Linked DNA regions of Macaca fascicularis. The protein of the gene in region 1 interacts with the protein of each later gene in a pairwise test. Links are inferred from orthologs where the notes say so. Each region holds a gene or a part of one and is shown on either strand. Other genes may lie near its edges.

Region 1 (5,840 bases):
TGGGCAAACCTCCATGGATGACTGGTCTGTGACCCTCACCAGCTGGCTCAGTCATTCTGGACACAACCAGAGCCCTCCCCTCTTCTTCCCTTGTCACCAGCCTTCATCTGTGAGACCACAGATGGTATGTCACCTCTTCATGCTCCCAGTTTGGGGCCTACCCAGTGAGGGGCACACTAGTTGATTCCATACACCCTCAGCTGGCTTTGTTTAGAATGTGAATGTCACAGTCAGGTGCGGTGGCTCATGCCTGTAATCCCAGCACTTTGCTGGGAGGCCGAGCCGGGCTGATCACTTGAGGTCAGGAGTTTGAGACCAGGCTGGCCAACATGGCGAAATCCCGTTTCTACTAAAAATGTAAAAAGTAGCCAAGCGTGGTGGCATGTGACTGTACTCCCAGCTACTCTGGAGGCTGAGACAGGAGAATCACTTGAACCCGGGAGGTGGAAGCTACAGAGAGCCAAGATCACACCACTGCACTCCAGCCTGAGTGACAGCGAGACTCTGTCTCAAAAAAAAAAAAAAAAAAAAAGGATATGAATGTCACCTCCTTTCCCTTCTCCATGGGACAGCCCATATCTGATCAAGGCCCTGGGAATCCTAGCCACAGTTCAGGCTCCTGAGCAGGCCTTGGCAGCCTTCCATAGCTCATCACCGACGTCTGCCCCCTGCCCAGACACGCTGCGCTCAGGGACTATTCCGACAGGAGAGGACGCCCCGCTGCAGCTCCCCCCAGTGCCCCGGGTGAATGAACGGCATGAAGGATTAGGCGGGCACACGTTGTCTCTGTACGCATCGCACGGCGCCCTCTGCCCGCGCCCACTGGCGTGCCCGTCGGCATGCCCGGGCCCCTTCGAAGGCTGCTTGCTTCTGGAGTGCCAGCGGCCTCCTGGCCCAGTGCCCCATTTCCTCCCGGGTAGAGTGAGGGAGGAGGAAGGGAAGCAGAGAGGTAGGCGGTGGGAAGCAGCAGGCACATGTGCGCGGGCGAGAGCCCTGCAGACTGGGAAGAAGGGCCCGTGGCAGGGGGTCTGCGGAGATCCCATAGGCGCGGGCCTTGCCCCGCAGCCGCTTCCCGAGCAATGCGCACACAAAGCGCCCCCGGCAGTGCCTGGCCCCGGGCCCGCGCTCTCTTAGGGTCCGCTGCCGGGGCGGCCGACCGGGATGCGGCCGGGAAACCCTAGGCTCTGGGGCCCAGGAAAGGGGGGCGACGGCGGGGAGCAGGGATGTGCAGGGACCGGGCGAAGTCCAAGTGACTTAGGGACCAGAGCCACCCCAAGCGCCGACTTCGCCCGCTCGCACGTCCCGGGTCCCTAGCGCGCAGGCCCCATCCCTCTCACCCGGCTGGCTCAAGCGCGCCACAGGGTGACGTCTTGGCTCCCAGCCGTGTCGCCCTCACTCCCGCGCGGGCCCCGCCCCCTGCCGCTAGCCAATCTGTGCGTTTGTGACTTTTGGGCCCGCAGCCCCGCCTACTCCCACTGCGATACCAGTTTGCATTGCCCTGACTCCCGCGCGGGCCCCGCCGCCTACGCCGCTAGCCAATCCGTGCGTTAGTGACGTGTGGCGCCCCTCGCGGCGCGGCTTGCTCCCACCGCGAGACCTTCTGCCCCGCGCCCGCGCGGGCCCCGCCTCCTCCATCGCTAGCCAATCCCCATGTTTGTGACGTAAGGGCTCTCCGCTCCGCTCGCTCCCAACGCAAGACCTTTTGCTCCGCGCCTGCGCGGGCCCCGCCCCCTCCATCACTAGCCAATTCCCGTGTTTGTGACATATGGGCTTGCGGCCCCGCCCGCTCCCACCGCGAGACCGGTTCCCACCACCCTGACTCCCGGGGGCCCGCCCTCTCTGCCGCTAGCCAATCCGTGAGTTGATGACGTTTGGGCTCGCGGCCCCAGCCTCCCAGCTCTCAAGGCCCGGCCGGTCTGTGCCGGCTACTCCCGCCGTTTGGTCCCGCCCAGCGCAGCGCGCGCAGCCTGCGGAGCCAGCGGCCGTGACGCGACAGCGATTCGGCTGTGACGCGAGTGCGGCCGCTCCCGATGCACTCGTGCCGCCCCCGCCGTGCTCCTAGGCAGCCGTTGCTCGGCCGGTTTTGGTAGGCCCGGGCCGCCGCCAGGCCTCCGCCCGAGCCCGCACCCGCCATGGACGACTACGCAGATCTTTCAAATACCGAGCTGACCGCCTTGCTGCGCCGGTACAACATCCCGCACGGGCCTGTAGTAGGTACGCGGCGGCGGGCGGGACCCCTTCCGGGCCCCCTCCTCGTGCTCCGCCCCGCGACCTCCCCGCTGCCCTCCCCGCGCCCCTTCCCCGGACTGCGGCCCTGACCGCCCCGTGTCCGGCCAGGATCAACTCGTAGGCTTTACGAGCAGAAGATCTTCGAGTATGAGACCCAGAGGCGGCGGCTCTCGCCCCCCGGCTCGTCCGCTGCCTCCTCTTATCGCTTCTCTGGTGAGAGCCTCGCCTGTGGGGACGGCCTGGGACGCGGGGAGGATGAGGTAGCGAGGGTGTGGCAGGGGTGCCGGTCGAGAGCGGCACTGGGGAAAGGGGAGGGAAGCCTTGGGGTGGGGGTGGGGGGGCAAACAGTTCTGTCTCCTCCTTTCAATCCAGAGTTGAATTCGACGTCAGGGGATTCAGATATGTATGATCTTCCCAAGAAAGAGGACGCCTTACTCTACCAGAGCAAGGGTAAGGCAGGGGTTGGGTGGGCACGCTGGCACCTTCACCCGACTGCGTCAGGGACCCCGCTCACAGGGAGGACCTGAGACCTCAGTCCCAACCACTCCAGCAGCCTTAGGAGGGAGAAACTGTCACAGGTCCCGAAATGGGATTCAGATTAGGGCCATCGGGCCAGGCGGGGCACACCGATGCCCCCTCTGCTACCGCTGCCCCCCTTCCCAAGGCTACAATGACGACTACTATGAAGAGAGCTACTTCACTACCAGGACTTATGGGGAGCCCGAGTCTGCGGGCCCGTCCAGGGGCTTCCGCCAGTCTGTGACTTCACTCCCAGATGCTGACACTTTCCACCACCAGGTGAGCTGGCTGGCAGGCGTACTGTACTTGGGTACAACCTAGGGGATCGCGGCTGTGTTTGGATAAATCCAGGGGGCCACTGGGTACAAATGGTGGCCCTTGGGCCTCTGGGGAGACTTTGGCTCAGCAGACACCTGTTTGGTCAGGGTCCTACTTTGGGGAGCCCTCAGAACTATGTGACTAGAGCACATAGGATGCGTCCTGCACCCTGGTCTGGGATCTAGGCTCCAGCTCTTCCTGAGAGTCCTGGGGGCAAAGGGGGATGCTGGGGCATGAGCACAAGTAGCAAGGCCCCATGGATAAAAGGCCGAACACCCAGAGTCATTCAGGAGGGTGTGGGTCCCTGGCCTTTAACCAAAGGTCAGAGGGGACCTGCTGGGGAAATTTGAGAGGGACGTGGCAGGGCCATTGTGGCCCTGCCAGCCAGTTCCCTCACCTTGACTCTCTTCTACAGGTACGTGATGACGACCTTTTGTCGTCTTCTGAAGAGGAGTGCAAGGATAGGTATGTATGTATGGGGAAGGCCAGGGACAGGGGCTGGTTCTGGACCCAGGCTCCTGGCCCACCTGCTCCCCTCTTTTGCCTCAGGGAACGCCCCATGTACGGCCGGGACAGTGCCTACCAGAGCATCACGCACTACCGCCCTGTTTCAGCCTCCAGGAGCTCCCTGGACCTGTCCTATTATCCTACTTCCTCCTCCACCTCTTCTATGTCCTCATCATCTTCCTCTTCATGGCTCACCCGCCGTGCCATCCGGCCTGAAAACCATGCTCCTGGGGCTGGGCTGGGCCAGGATCACCAGGTCCCACTCTGGGGCCAGCTGCTGCTTTTCCTGGTCTTTGTGATCGTCCTCTTTTTCATTTACTACTTCATGCAGGCTGAGGAAGGCAACCCTTTCCAGAGGGAGCCATGAGGGTCTGGGCTTCAGAGCCAGGTCTTCTGGGGAAGTCCTGGCTGACTGCCTTAGCAGTGGGGGTGGGGGTGGGTGTGGGGGCAGGGGCAGGGGCAGGGGCTTTTATGTGTTCTTGCTTGGGGGGCGCTGGGCCTAGCCCAGAGTAGTGCTTGCTCCCCCTGCCTTGTCCCACCAGGGAGGCAGCAGATTCAGGCCCTCCATGGGGGCCTGAGTGTGCTTTCCTCGGCAGCCTCCTGGCCCTGCTTGCCTGTAACCCTTAGGGTCCAGGAGGGCAAGGCCTCGCTCAGTCAGAGGAGAACATGGTTCTTGTTGTCATGCATGCCTCCTTTTTGTCATCTTGTTGGGGGGGATTAACCAAAGGCCACCCTTTGTTTTCGTGGACACACAATAAAAACCCCATTTATTTTTAATGCGTTGGCTCTTCCTGGAGGAGAGGGTTGGGCTCCCATGGCAAGGGCCTCTGCGTCTTGGGACTCGAGGATTGCAATCTGGCTTTGTTGGGTCCGCATTTTTGCTTTGGTCTGGGGATAGGAATCAAATGCTACCCAGAGATGTTTGTGTTTTGTTTGGGAGTTTTATTCCCTAACTCATTCCCCAAAGCACCTGTAACTGCTTATACATATAATTGTGGTACAACAAGGCGTATACAGAGAACCCACTTAGAAATTCAGGCAAAGCAGCCGGGCGCAGTGGCTCAAGCCTGTAATCCCAGCACTTTGGGAGGCCGAGGCGGGCGGATCACGAGGTCAGGAGATTGAGACCATACTGGCTAACACAGTGAAACCCCGTCTCTACTAAAAATACAAAAAAGTAGCCAGGCGAGGTGGTGGGCGCCTGTAGTCCCAGCTACTCGGGAGGCTGAGGCAGGAGAATGGCGGGAACCCGGGAGGCGGAGCTTGCAGTGAGCTGAGATCGCACCACTGCACTCCAGCCTGGGTGACAGAGCAAGACTCCGTCTCAAAAAAAAAAAAAAAAAAAATTCAGGCAAAGCTGCATGCATGCTACCAGCAGTCTGTGGGTGTTTTAACTGGAAAAAGCTGAAGTCCACCCCAGTGTCCAAGGGCATGGGGACGGAAAAAAAATGAAGCATCTCTGGCACATCATTCTCAGCTCCTGGAACTGCTGCTTGTTTAACATGGGAGAAAAGCTCCAAAGGCTGAAATGCCCCATCATCCCTGGGTGATGGAATTCACCTGCCTATATTCTCACTTAGCTCCCAGGTTTTCTGCCCTGGGTATGTATTTCATAATCTTCTATATATACATATATATAATTTTTTTTTTTTGAGACGGAGTCACTCTGTCACCCAGGCTGGAGTGCAATGACGCCATCTTGGCTCACTGCAACCTCTGCCTCCTGGGTTCAAGCAATTCTGTCTCAGCCTCCCTAGTAGCTGGGACTACAGTCACACGCCACCATACCTGGCTAATTTTTGTATTTTTAGTAGAGATGGGGTTTCACCATATTGGTCAGGCTGGTCTCGAACTCCTGATCTCAGGTGATCCACCCATCTTGGCCCCCCAAAGTGCTGGGATTACAGGTGTCAGCCACTGTGCTCAAAGTTTATATTATATACACACATATATACATATATATGCATACATATACATAGATATATACCTGTATATACATATATATATTATTTTATTTATTTTTTTGAGATGCAGTCTTGCTGTTGCCAGGCTGGAGTGCAGTGGCACAATCTCAGCTCACCGCAACCTCTGCCTCCTGAGTCCAAGGGATTCCCCTCCCTCGGCCTCCCGAGTAGCTGGGACTACAGGTGTGCACCACCATGCACGGCTAATGCTTTGTATTTTAGTAGAGACGGGGTTTCACCAGGTTGGCCAAGATGGTCTCGATCTCCTGACCTCGTGGTCCACCCACCTCAACCTCCCAAAGT
Region 2 (4,222 bases), on another chromosome or scaffold:
GTTTCTACTTACTCCTTCTTGGATAAGGGTGGGAGTGGGCCTAGGGGATGGTCCCTTGACTTTCTCCCTGCCACTTTCTTTATTTAGAGACTTAAAAAAAAGGGTCTGGGCCAGGCGCGGTGGCTCAAGCCTGTAATCCCAGCACTTTGGGAGGCCGAGACGGGCGGATCACGAGGTCAGGAGATCGAGACCATCCTGGCTAACACGGTGAAACCCCATGTCTACTAAAAAATACAGAAAAAAAACTAGCCGGGCGAAGTGGCGGGTGCCTGTAGTCCCAGCTAGTCGGGAGGCTGAGGCAGGAGAATGGCGTGAACCCGAGAGGAGGAGCTTGCAGTGAGCTGAGATCCGGCCACTGCACTCCAGCCTGGGTGACAGAGCAAGACTCCGTCTCAAAAAAAAAAAAAAAAAAAAAAGGGTCTGACAGACCCATGTCTGTTGTTATAAATGACTGAATGGAAGAGACCCAGGATTATGTGCATGTGAACTCCATCTCTGGAACCTACACTCACAGCATCCCTGAGTCACAGCCCCTGGCTATTCTGCCATGGATTGCAGTGGAGAACCCTGGCTCTTGGAGTCACACTGTGTGGACTCATATCCTGGCTCTGTCACCTACTACCTGTGTGTGGTTTTAGGTAAGCTATTAAACATCTCTAAGCCCCAGTCTCTTCATTTATAAAATGGGGCTAGATTGGCTGGGCGCGGTGGCTCACGCCTGCAATCCCAGCACTCTGCGAGGCTGAGGCGGGTGGATCATGAGGTCAGGAGATCGAGACCATCCTGGCTAACACAGTGAAACCCGGTCTATACTAAAAAATACAAAAAATTAGCCAAGCATAGTGGCGGCCTCCTGTAGTCCCAGCTACTCGGGAGGCTGAGGCAGGAGAATGGCGTGAACCCGGGAGGAGGAGCTTGCAGTGAGCCGAGATCGTGCCATTGCACTGCAGCACTCCGGCCTGGGCGACAAGCAAGACTCCGTCTCAAAAATAAAATAAAATAAAATAAAATAAATAAAATAAAATAGGGCTAGAACCTGCCTTGTAGGTTATAAGGATTAAATGACATTTTTGCCATTAAAAGTAATGGCAAAAACCAAATATTATCCTTGTTATGCTGATGTTGGATATTGAGGACTTGGTGCTATAAGACAAAGGCTCCAAGCTAAATGAGCACTCTTAAGACCAAGAATGCCTTCTCTCATCCTCTCAACCCTCTCTCTTTGACAGAGTATATTGTTTATCAGATTGAGGGGATGCTGGACCAAGGTTGGAGTCACATTTACTTCTCTGTTTCTTCTGACCCCGGGTTTGGGCTATAAGGAGAAAGGGCTTCTCTGTGATCTGGACATAATCACCATCCCAATTACACCAAGCAGAAAGGTAAGGAAGAGATGGGGTCTGCCTGTGTCACACATAAGTTGTGAGGTTCCCTCCCTGTTTGGCTCCAGCTTCCCGCCAGGTTTTGTAGTGGAGGCAGAACATTGAGAATCCTCCTACCTTCTTGCCATGAAGAGGAAAGGGCTATGGGGGAGAACACAGGGCCTGAGATGAGGTCTCTCTGGGCTTTCCACCTAGGCCACCCACCTTCATCCACTGAAACACACAGCTGCTCTGCTCACTGCTTCCTCGGGGCAGACATTGAGTCTTCTTACCCAAGAAAGGAGCTGCAGTGGAAATGGCTTCTTAGAGACGGGAGTGTTCCCAGATGCCTTGGCTACCACAACTGCTAGGATGTGGTGCAGCATGCTGCATAGAACCCTACCCCGGTTTCTGGGATATCTGGACCCTACTGACTTGCTTAAAAACAGGAAGGTATGCAGGATGGCTGACAGGGATAGGCTGCTAAAGAAAAGGGAACTGGTCCCTGTAGAGTTCAAAGAAAGATCACTGGGTCACTGCCCAGGCTTTCTGGCATCTCTGACATTCCCACCTGGCAGCATGACTGGGCTCACTTAGAGCTTGGAGGAAGGGTTACTGGCTTGGAAGGCTCAGTCTGGTCTCTCAGGCTGCAGAGAGAGAACAGGGCATGGCTCCTCACCTGACTGTGGCTTGACATGCCTTTCCGAGTCTCACTTTTACTTCCTGGCCGTGTGTGCAACAGACGCAATGAATGGCTTCCTGCATGGGTGGCCTTCCTGGCCCAGAGCTCTCAGTGGGAACTGAGGGGAGAGGGGCCTACGCTTGAGCTGCTGGGAAGGCAGTCTTGTGTTCAGGGATCCCCGCTTTGAAGAAAACTATAAAAGGTCATTTAATTCATGCCCATATCACTGGGTAGCCTGAACTAAGTCATTTGACTTACTCCTAATCTAATGTAATCTAATCTAATCTACTGGAACAGAGGAGTGGTGCAAGCTGTACCCTGTGCCAAGGCTAGCGCCACGGGAAACCAACACAGGATACTTTCTTGGTTACCCAAACCCCCAACACCCTTAAACTATGCCACCTGCTCTTTCTTCACCCAGGAGAGCTGGGATGGTAGAGCATCTTCTGCCCCACCCCAAAGTTGGAGTTCCCAAACCAGGACACAAAAGCATCCTCCTTCTCAGTTACCTCCGAGTCCCAGGCTCCGACTCAAGCCACTCAGGAAAGCATTCCAGCTCCTGGGCAGATCTTGGCTCTGGTCTCAGATGGAGCAAGACAGCAGATGGGTAAAGCACACGCTTTCAATCCATAGGTCTGGGCCCCATTAACACGTCCCTTCTTGGTACTGTCTTTCTTTTTGCACAGCAGCCTTGCTGAAACAGGAAACAGACAAAGCCACAAGGTTTGCAAACCCCGGTTCCTCTCTCTTACTCTCTGGCATCATCTGAGTGAGCCTCTGAACTCTGAGGCCTCCAGGGCTGGGCTCAGGAGCTCCTCCCATCAGTAGGCACCCTGGCCACCCTTTCTCTTGCTACTGGATTGGTCGAAGCTCTTGGACAGTTTCAAGTCAAGATTCCTTTCCACGATTAGACAAGGATAGTCCTCTGGGTCAGATTCAGACCTTTGTGGTTTCTATGAAGGGAAAGAAAATTCCTTTTTGATGGTAAGACCTAGATGAGATGTTCTCAGTGTAGGCTTTCATGTGTATCAGGTAGTTCTTTGTGCAAAGATTTTCCTTTTTCTTTAGCCACCTCTTCCCAATCCTGGTGTTGTAAAGAGTTTCTGCTTTTCTGAAGTAGCTGGTGTCTTTCTCAGATTCTGGAATGAGGCCAATTCTGCATTTGCTCCTTTCTAGAGCAATGAGGAGGGGGTATAAAGGTGGGTAGCTGGGGGATGAAGGAAGGAATAGAAGGCAGAATCTTCTACACATTTTTTATCCAGTCAACCAGACTAGGAAATTTAGGGAAAAACTAAAGGGAACGAATTTGTGTGCATTAAGATGAAGCCATCACAAATGATGCAGTCAGGAAATTCCCAAGAAGTTCAAGCTAAAATAGTGGAGGGGAAACTGGATTGGGACAAGTTAACCCAGCAGCTTTGTAACCTTGTAAAATTCACCTTGTCTGGATGCTACTCACTGTGGTGGTTGGATGATGTACGTGGCTCTTTGGAATTCTAAGTTTTGACACACGTGAGGCAGGTAATGAGACTTAAACATAGCTGTGATCACGTTTATTAACATGTGGAGAGTTTGTCACCATTTTCTCTGCTACTGCTTCTTTCTCTGTTCTTTGAGGAGAAAAAGGACGAGGAATCAGCAGGGAAAAGCAGAGGATGGATTCTCAAGCAGTAGGGCTGAAGATAAATGGCATTTACTCAGGATGAGAGACAACAGCTCAAGGCCCTGTGTCTGGAGCTTGACACATACAGATGGGAATGAGTAGAGGACAGAGGGTTTGGGGAGTCCAAGATGTCAGAATAAGAGAATTTTGGCTGGGCACAGTGGCTCACGCCTGTAATCCCAGCACTTTGGGAGGCCCAGGTGGGTGGATCACTTGAGGTCAGGAGTTCAAGACTAGCCTGGCCAACATGGTGAAACCCCATCGCTACCAAAAATATAAAAAATTAGCCAGGTGTGGTGGCATGTGCCTGTAAACCCAGCTACTCGGGAGGCTGACGCACGAGAATCGCTTGAACCCAGGAGGCAGAGGTTGCAATGAGCCAAGAACGTGCCACTACACTCCAGCCTGGGCGACAGAGTGAGACAGAGTTTTGCTCTTGTGGCTTACGCTGTAGTGCAATTGCATGAACTCGGCTCACTGCAACCTCCGCCTCCCAGGTTCAAGCAATTCTCCTGC
Region 3 (4,124 bases), on another chromosome or scaffold:
CCCTCCCCTCTTCAAAAAAGGAGCAGTGTACACCTGACAGAAAGTTCTCTTCAATAAAGTTAATGAAACAGGAGTATTTGAATTCGAAGAATCTATTATTAGACTTTTAGACACTCCATGAAAGAGTGTGGGCCCTGTTACTTTAGAAATATACTTGGGGACTGGCAAAAACTGTCATCCCTGATTTTAATAGTGGACACATTTACTCCCTGCTTCCATTCTCTGGGCTACTCTGCGCTCTTGGAGCGAGATGGGAAATTTTGTCAGGCCGCAGCAAGGGCGGATTTATACTGATGGTCCTCAAACTTGCCCCGGGCTGCTTCCAGAAAGCTAATCGGATTATTTGTACTCGGTTCCCAGCAATATCCTTTGCAGTCAGCTTGTCGCTGGCGCGGATCGCAAGAACTGAAACGCCTTAAGGGTGGGGACGGCGCCCCCTGCTGGTCGCGCCCTCGGGCGACGGTAAGAGATTGAGGACTCGAGCCCGCGCGGGGAAAACGGCTATGGGCTTGGCTTAGGGATGGTTCGCCTAAGCCTGGTAGGAGCAGGACCGCCGGGGCCTTGTCCGTTCTGTGGTTACGTAGGTCATAGAAGGAAAATTGGTTTGTGATCTGATGGGGAATCTGTGAGGACAGACCCAGGGAGGGCAGAACTAAGCGCACCGCCGGGGGGGTCGCCAGAATTGGAGGCGTGTGCGCCTCTGACAAGTATTTGCAACGTAAGTATGCATATGGATAATGTATCAATACACATGTGTAATAGATGCCAAACAAATTATTCAAATAATTGTCACACATTTAAATTTTCAGACATTCACAAAATCAAATGTAAAATATTAAACTGAAAGTTCGCAATTTAAATTTTCAAAAATTAAATCTAATTTCCAAAATTAACCGTTTTCAAAATTAAATTTTAAAATATTCAAAATTCCAAGGTAAATTTCCAGAAATAATTAAAACTTCAAAACTCAAATCTTTTAAATGAAATGTATAAACTTTAAAAGGTGAGTCATTCCTCAGCTGGAATCGCAACCAGGGCCCTCGAATAAAATGCTATTTTGATCGCTAGAACACACAGAAACTTCCCTAAAACTGCTCTACAAAATTCCCTAAAAACCCGGCATCAACCCGCCTTTAGCGGCGTTCTATAGGGTAGGTTGTATCTGGGGATCTGCCTTTTCTGGTTCTGCCTGTCCTGAGTTGGAGATGTAACAGGGAATCTGTGAACCTAAAACAAGCTTCCTATCCCGCTTCCACGCTCTAAATCTGGCTTTCCACCTGACACCCCACTTCCGCCCTCTCCCCTCGGCCTTCCCCTTGACCCGACTGCATCGCCAATCATATCCTTTCATTTGTCATCACCGCCTTGGCCCCGCCCCCTCGTCTCAGGCCGTCGCACACGTTTTGCGTCAGTAGGCAAGGCACTTTACGGCCGTCGTGCCGCTCATGTCAGTCAACATGGAGGCAGAGGAATCGGAGAAGGCCGCAACGGAGCACGAGCCGCTGAAAGGGACAGAACAGACACTAGACGCGGAGGAGGAGCAGGAGGAATCCGAAGCAGCGGCCTGTGGCCGCAATAAGCGGGTAGTGCCAGGTATTGTGTACCTGGGCCATATCCCGCCGCGCTTCCGTCCTCTGCACGTCCGTAACCTTCTCAGCGCCTATGGCGAGGTCGGACGCGTCTTCTTTCAGGCTGAGGGTAAGTATGCAGACCCTGACGGTGAAAGGAGGAGGTTGTCGCTCGCTGGCGGGGTGCAAGCATGGATGTCCTGTTGCTTCGCTGCGCAAGACTGAGGCACGAGTTGTTGGATTTTGGGGGTGGGGAGTGCGGTGCTCGGCTCCTGGCTGGTGAATCAGTCTGTGAGGATGCTGGGGTGGGTGGGCGGAGGGGATATGGGGAGAGTGGGTAGCGCAGTGCGTCTGGTGGTTCTTTAGTTCTCGGATTGTTACTATTCGTGTTCTTATCCCGGCCCTGCTCACCTCTCTTTCCGGATCTGTTTACTGGTTTGTTACATGAGTACAACAGAGTAAAAGCCTCGTTAGCTTTTCTACAAAACTGAACATACCCCTTTAGCATCGCGGCCTAGGTCAAGAAACTGATCAACCGCCCTTCCTCTTTCCACCCTCAATTTTACATTGAGGTTGGGGACTTGCGCGGGTGTTAAATAGCGTTCAAAGCCGGCCAGATTAAGGAGTGGACAATTAAGGAAATAATTGAGTTAGCTAGAGGAAAGGGTGCAATTTACAGTTCCCTCCCTCCTGGGCAAAAACTCTCAGGTGGAACTCCCGCTGGCAGATGTGAAGAACGATGCGGGCAGTGGGAAGTGGTTTTGAGTGAGTGCTGCATAGTCCCTGACGGGTCTTTTTGTCTTTGGCGCTCAGATCGGTTCGTGAGACGCAAGAAGAAAGCAGCAGCAGCTGCGGGAGGAAAAAAGCGGTCCTACAGCAAGGACTACACCGAGGGATGGGTGGAGTTCCGTGACAAGCGCATAGCCAAGCGCGTGGCGGCCAGTCTACACAACACGCCTATGGGTGCCCGCAGGCGCAGCCCCTTCCGTTATGATCTTTGGAACCTCAAGGTGAGGAGATAGATCTTTCTGCCACACCTCTCACCCTCCCTTCTCCCCAGCTCTGGCCCAGGTATACCCATGGCTTCTCATTGGTCTTGTCCCCTGTCTCATCTTTCTCCCTAATCTGCACTATCCTGATCTTTTCTTATTTTCTGCCCACAGTACTTGCACCGTTTCACCTGGTCCCACCTCAGTGAGCACCTTGCCTTTGAGCGCCAGGTGCGCAGGCAGCGCCTGAGAGCGGAGGTTGCTCAGGCCAAGCGTGAGACCGACTTCTATCTTCAAAGTGTGGAACGGGGACAACGCTTTCTTGCGGCCGATGGGGACCCTGCTCGCCCAGATGGCTCCTGGACATTTGCGCAACGTCCTACTGAGCAGGAACTGAGGGCCCGGAAAGCAGCACGGCCAGGGGGTCGTGAACGGGCTCGCCTGGCGACTGCCCAGGACAAGGCCCGCTCCAACAAAGGGCTCCTGGCCAGGATCTTTGGAGCCCCACCACCCTCAGAGAGCATGGAGGGACCTTCCCTTGTCAGGGACTCCTGAGGGCCAGGGTGGCCCCTTCCAGCTCCTAGCCCTGCTCTGCTTCCTGTCTACCTCATACTAGAATGATCGTGACTATCCAGGCAAACATTTTACTGTGTTTCTCAGACCAAGTGTCTCTGCTAAGGGCCCAAACGTGCAAGTTTTGAGGGCTTCCACTATCCTCACTCCGAACTCCTGTATATGCCTGGCTGAGTCACCTAGTTCATACTGTCATACTAGCATGATTATGACTATTGCATATGCTTGTTTTGTTTGACTCTTGGCTGCCTACGTCTATAGGGTCCCCTAAAAATCCCACGTTCTGCCCCCAGGAATGGGCCTTTATTTCCAACTAGGGGGATAATGCCTGCAATAATCCCGGCAATCTTTCTCTGTTTAGCAGTCACAGGTGAGGGTGGTATTAGCATCTTTTTTATGTAGAAAAAATTGACAGTTAATGGCGTGGACTGAGTTGGGAAGAAATACATTTCCTAATGTATTTATAGAAAATAAAAATATTTTTTATGCCTTTTTATTTTTGTTGGGGAGGGTCATTGGACAAGTTCCAGCTTTCATCTCCTTGTGTTCACCTTCATCTCCTGATCTTAGAGCCCCCCCGCCACCCACCTTACTGTTTAACCTGGATTTTTTTTTTTATTTAATTTCTGTCTATTATCTTAGCCCAGTTTATCAATTAGTTATCTTAAGTCAGCATTTTCTAAGCCATTGTTTGAGGAAACAATGACAATAGGTAATAACACATCTTAGTATTAAGAGTTTTACAGGCCACTAGTATAAGATAGGCATCGTGGTAGATGCATATACCGGGTGGAATGGGGGCCACAGCATGTCATAGAGCCCCTCTCAAGGGGGACGTGATTGATGATCACAGTCTTCAGTGGTGAGTCAGTCCTCACCAAGTTTTCCAGGTCATTCCTACAAAATAACTGTAAGAATAATAAGAAGTTTGAAAGAGTCTGGAGTGCTCCCACAATTGCAAACAATGCTTCCTGGGTGGAGTGTTGAGTTGGAA

What was found.
Region 2: the proteins of EMD (region 1) and TRAF3IP3 interact in binary tests that used the Homo sapiens proteins (3 or more experiments, as listed by UniProt). The two-hybrid records come from large-scale screens. The link is inferred for Macaca fascicularis from reciprocal best matches to the Homo sapiens genes EMD and TRAF3IP3.
Region 3: the proteins of EMD (region 1) and ABT1 interact in binary tests that used the Homo sapiens proteins (3 or more experiments, as listed by UniProt). The two-hybrid records come from large-scale screens. The link is inferred for Macaca fascicularis from reciprocal best matches to the Homo sapiens genes EMD and ABT1.

The regions. Positions count from the first base shown.
Region 1 is NC_088395.1:160,348,992-160,354,831, reverse strand, and holds EMD (emerin), read left to right. Parts: upstream 1-1,980; 5' UTR 1,981-2,132; coding exon 2,133-2,214; intron 2,215-2,337; coding exon 2,338-2,442; intron 2,443-2,601; coding exon 2,602-2,679; intron 2,680-2,893; coding exon 2,894-3,027; intron 3,028-3,481; coding exon 3,482-3,531; intron 3,532-3,615; coding exon 3,616-3,940; 3' UTR 3,941-4,350; downstream 4,351-5,840. UniProt on the Homo sapiens protein: Stabilizes and promotes the formation of a nuclear actin cortical network. Stimulates actin polymerization in vitro by binding and stabilizing the pointed end of growing filaments. Inhibits beta-catenin activity by preventing its accumulation in the nucleus.
Region 2 is NC_088375.1:67,578,998-67,583,219, reverse strand, and holds the start of TRAF3IP3 (TRAF3-interacting JNK-activating modulator), read right to left. Parts: upstream 2,801-4,222; 5' UTR 2,553-2,800; intron 2,237-2,552; exon of another isoform or gene 2,162-2,236; 5' UTR 2,127-2,161; coding exon 2,041-2,126; intron 1-2,040. UniProt on the Homo sapiens protein: Adapter protein that plays essential roles in both innate and adaptive immunity. Plays a crucial role in the regulation of thymocyte development.
Region 3 is NC_088378.1:146,290,979-146,295,102, reverse strand, and holds ABT1 (activator of basal transcription 1), read left to right. Parts: upstream 1-1,450; 5' UTR 1,451-1,457; coding exon 1,458-1,698; intron 1,699-2,381; coding exon 2,382-2,578; intron 2,579-2,731; coding exon 2,732-3,112; 3' UTR 3,113-3,624; downstream 3,625-4,124.